2 linked regions of the Caenorhabditis elegans genome follow. The protein of the gene in region 1 purifies or fractionates together with the protein of each later gene. This does not show direct contact. Each region holds a gene or a part of one and is shown in the gene's direction. Other genes may lie near its edges.

Region 1 (3,121 bases):
AAAAGTTTTCATGGAGTTCGGTAAAAAAGAAAATGCCAGATGTTCGGATGGAGCCTATTATCGAAAGTGAGAATATTATACCTGGTTCTCTTTAATAAATTTAGATTTAGATTCCATAAAAAGCTTGCGCCAAACATGGATCAACTGGACAATTACAGTATTGAAAGCCGTGTCCGAGTGATGCTTGGGCTTGCTGGAGAAGTTTCGGACGACTTTCAGTAGTATGTGGAGCTAAATTTCCCACCCCCAGCCAGGGAGCTAAATTTCGCACCTGCCACTCAAACCGCGTTCATGCACCGATTTTTTTCAAATCTATATCGTTTTCTTCGTCAGGAGAACAGAGAATTACGCAAAATAATTCTCAATCTCGAGGCCCTGGATGAGATTGAAGGACTCATTAGAGTATGGTGAGTTTTTTTTCTTAGTCTTTTTTTACCTTACCCTACCGTTTACAGGACAGAATAAATGCTTCTGGTCTCCTTGCCATTCAAGTCACCATTCAAGTGCCACCGTGTCTGGTCTCCTCGCCATTCAAGTTATAAATTACAATTTCCATTTTTTTCTGAATAAAAGCTTTGTTTTCGTTTTATTTGTTTAATAAACAATTTGGATGGAAAATGGAATCTTTTATCATTTGTGAAAATCTTTGAAAATAAAAAAAGTTTCGACAAAAAACTGAATAATTCTTCAAACATTTAAATTTGATACATCTCCTTAACTTTATTCTTCAATCTTGAAGCTGAAAATTCCGCGCCGAATGCACTGATAACTTTTGAGAATACATATAAAATTGAAAACCACCGACATCTCACCCTTCCACCATCTCTCTCATGGGTGGCAGGCGGGAAATTTAGCTCCCTGACTAGGCTTGAAATTTAGCTCCCCGGCATCACTCCAGCCTTCCCCCTTTTCTCTCATGGGTGGGGTAGGTGCGAAATTTAGCTCCCTGGCCTTCGGCCATCACCGTAACTGAACTCACCTCTCCCCCTTCTTTCCCTGCAGTGTGGGTGGCAGGTGCGAAATTTAGCACCCTGGCTGGGGGTGGGAAATTTAGCTCCACATACTACTATGTAGCGACGAATTCCGTCGCGCCATCTCCTCAATCTCGCCACCAGTTCATCCACATCATTGAAATGACGAAGAACTCCGTCAAGTGGAATTGAAATCTTTGGTGCACAGAACAGAAACACTGCAATATGATTACTGACTTTAAGTAAAAAAATTCCACGGAAGCAGAAAACTATCTACAGAGATTGAATAGTAAGAGTGAGGAGGTTTTTGTGGGAAACCTGATCAAACTTATCGGCAAAAACAAAGAAAACGATATAGATTTGAAAAAAATCGGTGCATGAACGCGGTTTGGTGGCAGGTGCGAAATTTAGCTCCCTGGCTGGGGGTGGGAAATTTAGCTCCACATACTACCGCCGATGACGTAAGATTGATGACTTTTCTTGTTGAAAAGACGAAAGAAGCCAATGAGCCACTGGTGGCAACAAAAGTTTTCATGGAGTTCGGTAAAAAAGAAAATGCCAGATGTTCGGATGGAGCCTATTATCGAAAGTGAGAATATTATACCTGGTTCTCTTTAATAAATTTAGATTTAGATTCCATAAAAAGCTTGCGCCAAACATGGATCAACTGGACAATTACAGTATTGAAAGCCGTCTCCGAGTGATGCTTGGGCTTGCTGGAAAAGTTTCGGACGACTTTCTGACACAGTAAAAAATTTTAAAAAGGTTTTTGAGTTAACGAATAGTGATTTACAAAGTTCAAACGGATGGAATTGTCGTGCTCAATGATGGCAAACGAATTTGCGAGTATGCATAACGTGATGGAAAGCTGAAGTTGGAGGCGGACCACAGTCATTCGGCAAGAATGAAAAGAACATCTGCATATCACCGAAAGGCTGGTCGACACGTGCACATGGTCATGAATGCAAGTCAGACGACGAACCAAGCCGAGAGCGACGAAGATGGCGTAGATTCGGCGACTTCTCTTCCTAGATCTCCGAAAAGAGCGAGAACTGAAATGTATATCCTGTCAATTTCATATTACGCAGTATTTTATTTGATTATTTTCAGGAGCTCGAGTGACGACGACGATGATCTGGAGATTATTGAAACTGTGGACGGATATCCGAAGCCTGAGCCAGTTGATTTCGATTTTGAAGAACTCCTCAATAGAGATTCAACCTATAATTTGCTCATCGATCATTCGCAAGAATATAAAGAAGTGATGATGGAAGAGAACAATCAGCCAACTATTTATGTGAAATCTGTATGCAAGAGTTTGCAAGCTCCCCTTGAAAAGCGATCCCAAAGAATTTCAGGGGAACATCCCACGAAAGGTCGACAAAGGACCGAGTATTCCTCGAAGGAAACCGAAGAACTCAGTGTTCAAAAACGATAAGAAAGTTCCCATGAGGGACTTCACGACGGATGAGGAGGAGAAGACACCGCGATGTGTGTACTGCCATTATCATCATCATTCCAATCGATGCGGGCACACGAAAGGAACTTTCGAAAGAAAGAAAATCCTCGACAAAGACAACCGTTGCCACTTGTGCCTGGCAAAACGAGAAGGAAGACATTGTTGCACCTAGAAACCCTAGTAACATGTCATCTGGTTACGCCCTCTGGACACGCCCATGACACCAAGAAGAAGAAAGAAGAGAAGAGCAAGGTAGTGTGGTGGTGATGATGGTTCCTGAGTGGTGATGGTGTGAGCTCTCATTCTGTTCTATCTTTATTCTATCTTTTACATCTTAATCCTCATTATTCTTTATATTCTTTAACTTCCAATAATAAACTCATAAGTAACATAACCGCTACACCATGTTAGTAAAATATATAAAGACCTCATAAGAACCCTGTGGGTATGATAACATCAATGTACTCCAAAGCCATGTACGTACTGTAAAAGGATCAATCATCATTGTTCCATCTGTATCGAGGATCCCATTCAAAGAAGCGAAGATCAAAAGTAATGCAAGCTGTCAAGATCATCATCATCACACACTCATCAAATCTTATCATCTACTCAAGCCAAGCTGTCTACTCAAGCCAGGCAGTCTACTCAAGCTCAACAAGGAGATCAAAACAAAATCCGAGGCTACTCATCG
Region 2 (3,538 bases), on another chromosome or scaffold:
AGTCCGTAATCCATTAATCATTGCAAATCCGACTGGAAACAGGAAGAAGCTCGACTCATCCACCCAAAACTCGACGTTTTCATGCTGAACCTGCCGATCTTTGGCCTCTACGGAAGGAAGATCTTCGGGATAATCCTGAGCGGTGACCATGACCATCAGACGGCGGCCAAGGATCCTGAGGATCCGTGCGACACGGATTTCTGTTGGCTCCAAGTAGTTGAGTAGCTCGACGCGTTGATTCAGCCGGAAACGAGATGGGCGGTGGGCAAGGTGGCGGAGTTGGTCGAAGATTTTTGGCTCAGAGATTCGATTTTCGTGCAGCTCGGCTTGAAATTCCTGCAGGAAAATTTTTTTAGGAAATGGGAAAATCAGAAGGGTTTTTTGGAGTTTTTTTTCAGTATTATTTTTTTTGTTGTTTTTTTGAGGCTTTGTTAAAGTTTTTAGGTGAATTTTTTTTGTTGATATTTTTGGTTTGTTTAAGAATAAATCATTTTTTGAAAAAAATTCGTTTTTATATTTTCGGTTTTTTGCTGGTTTAGTTAAAAGTTTTTTTTTCGGATTTTCAGGTTTTTTGACAAAAATTGATTTTTTTTTTGGTGTATTTCTTAGGTTTTCGGGTTTTTTTTTTGGTTTTTGACGAAAAATTTATTTTAAAAAAAACGGACTTTTTTGCAAAAAATATGGGGTTTCTTAAAAAAAAAAATTTCAATTTTTTTTGTTGGATAAAATTAAAGTTTCTTTTATGGTTGATTTTTCGCCTTTTTTCACATTCTCCACCAGAAAAAACATGAAAAAAACCAGAAATGAGTAGTTTTGAGCAATTTTCAGGCAGTTTTTCCGCTCAGAAAATAATTTTGGCCGGATTTTCATGGTTTCTCACATCCAGAATCTCCTCTGTTGGCCGTGGTACGGGCGGTGCAGGCGTAGATCCACGTCGCCAAAATTTCGGGCATTGCATCGGTTTCAGCAAGCTCAGTGGCCTGTATTGAAGCCATTTCATCGCTGGATCCTGCTTGAGACCGCTGAAATTTCGCGTTTTTTTTTGGAAATTTTGTTGAAAAATAACCTTCCAATATCGAAAATATCCTCTGAAAGCATATGAAACCAGCAGGGTCTTCTATTAAGTTCCCCCACAAATTTAATTGCCACGTAGAAGCCGCAGACAGCAGTCACCTCGCCGAACCAGCGGATTTCTGGAGATTTAGTGGTTATAGAAGGATCCAGAGACGGTCGGACGACTACTTCTAGCTGAAAACATTAAGATTATGGCTTTAAAGTTTTTTAAAAGAAAAACCAACTCGAAATCCAGGTTTTAGGTGCTGATTTAGCTTTTCCAGCGGCAAACAACCCTCCAGCGCCTCGACAGGTAAAAATTGAGTATTTCCATCATAATTACATCGGAGTTCATCTGACCATGTGAATGTTCCTTCAATTTGTGGCTTTGGAATCCGCTGGGCGATTTTCTCAACTGGATTTCTTCGACGATAGAATAGCCGTTCTTCGGTGAAATATCGGTATTCTGCTTCTTCAAGTTTGTAATTATATTGACGCTGAAAGTAATAAATTATGTTTTTCGATAAAAATGCTTTTAAAATTACCTTTTTATTCGAAAAATTCATTGATTTTAATTAAAAATCTATTTAAATTGTTTAAATTAAAAAGTTCCAAGCTTCTGTAGTTATCGCGTCGAGACCCAACACACTAATTACCACATGCGCCTTTATATAAATTTTAAGAAAATCAACATTTTAAAAGATTTTTACAGTTTTTTTGTCGTTAAATTTTTCGAAAAAATGATTTAAACTCACAGTAAACTTGTTTGAAACTTGAATATTAAAATTTCACAGTCAATGGGTTAAATTTCAAGACTTTCCCACTGATGATACGGTAGGCGCGAAGTACGGTAGTTTGTTTTGTTTTTTTTTATTTTGCCGCCGAGTGATTCAAATTTGAATTTATATCATCCGATTTTTTGATTTTTTCCTCAATATTTCTCGATTTTTCAGCTTTCAGTGTGATTTTCCAAGAGCCGTAGCTCGACCAGACGACGGAGAGCCTGAGGCTGGTCGCCAGAAGCACTATGAAGTGTGGGTTTTTTTTAAAGCATAATTTGCATTAATCTTCTAATATTTTAGCCACCCCACACCGTCCACGAACAAACTCCGAATCGAAGCTCGGGGCTCGCGAGCAGCTTCTCCGGGACTCTATACGAGTGGGTTTAAGTTCTTAATTTCAAATTTCACTCATTTAAAAATTTTATTTTTTAGCTTCAAGTAGCTTCGGAGCCGTACGTCCACATGACAAAGGAATCCACGTGGGACGAGGCGAAAAAACTGGCGATCAGTCTTGAAAAGAAGCCGGACATTGTCCGTAAAGCGATATACAATCGTCGTCGCTTCGTCAATGAAAAGATAAAAAGTGCGCTGGTCAAGCGCGAAATCATCGACCCAAGAAGCCCGGCAATCCATGAAATAGCAGTGGCGGCGGAGGTATTTTAAAAGAAAATCAGACAAATTTAATATCTAATTATTCCCCATTTTCTTGCAGACAATCGCCATAAACGTTGTGCACTTCTTGGAGACTCATCACGCAAAAATACTCGCTGAAATCAAAGCGGCCGCCGCTGGAGCCGGCGCCCAGCTCCGAACTGCATGAATTAATTCAAATTAATATTTTTAAACTCATTTTTCACACAAATAATCATTCATGTGTCCATTTTTCACTCTCGAAACCCATATACCCTCACTCTAAATATCAATATAATGCACATTTCTCATAGTTTTAATCTGCCCTTACCAATTAAATCTTACCAATTTTCCGCCATGATCCCTTTTTCCATTTTGAATAAAATTCGACGACGATTTTTCCATTAAAACAAGAAATATATAAATAGATTCAAAAGTGGCGCTTGTGTCGCTCAGCGGTCTCCTCCACTTGCACACTATCTCACCGCGGCCTTCCAATTACTCGTCCATTTTCCAGCTGTAAAAAGTTTATAAAAACTGAAATAAATGCAATTTTCAGCAGAAAATCGCTGAAAATGCGGCAAATCGTCGAGCTAAAGTCACTTTTGACTTCGGAGCCAATTAAAGCCATCGAGCTCTTCGATAGGCTCGTTGGACAAGGTTTGAGCCGAAAATCTAAACTTTTAAGCTGAGATTTCTTTTAAAAATCCCTTCCAGATGCCGACACAATCACCCAAGAAGCCTGTGGAACCCTCGCCAACTATATCCGGCATTCCAGTGTTTTTAAGCGACGGCTTCTGTTCACGGAGCTCCAAAAATGCTCGTTTTTTGCGAAATTGTGCATTTCGTTTCAATTTCACAGCTTTGAAGACACAGTTTTTCCGCGAAAATTGATTTTCGAACGATTCAGCGTGTTTTGCGGTGAACTGGAAAAGGACAAGCCACGTGGGTTTTCATTTATTGAAAATTGAAAAGATTTTTGCAAAAAATCATAAAATTTAATGTAAAACTGAACAAAACTCGATTTTTAACCGAACCTTTTTGTTTTTTCCGTGAAAAAATCGGTTTTCCAA

Evidence for each region.
Region 2: the proteins of ZK402.1 (region 1) and Y48G1A.2 fractionate together in Caenorhabditis elegans (co-fractionation; one large-scale study listed by BioGRID). This does not show direct contact.

What each region holds. Positions count from the first base shown.
Region 1 is NC_003284.9:1,402,396-1,405,516, forward strand, and holds ZK402.1 (Protein FAR1-RELATED SEQUENCE), read left to right. Parts: upstream 1-1,875; coding exon 1,876-2,030; intron 2,031-2,081; coding exon 2,082-2,277; intron 2,278-2,329; coding exon 2,330-2,602; downstream 2,603-3,121. Other genes in the region: ZK402.2 (SPK domain-containing protein), read left to right, coding at 1,349-1,560, 1,605-1,722.
Region 2 is NC_003279.8:345,495-349,032, forward strand, and holds Y48G1A.2 (Transposase), read left to right. Parts: upstream 1-1,974; 5' UTR 1,975-2,080; coding exon 2,081-2,087; intron 2,088-2,135; coding exon 2,136-2,212; intron 2,213-2,267; coding exon 2,268-2,489; intron 2,490-2,547; coding exon 2,548-2,655; 3' UTR 2,656-2,810; downstream 2,811-3,538. Other genes in the region: mbtr-1 (Malignant brain tumor repeat protein 1), read right to left, coding at 1-336, 881-1,022, 1,067-1,248, 1,299-1,550, 2,811-2,870; Y48G1A.1 (BTB domain-containing protein), read left to right, coding at 3,041-3,125, 3,183-3,410.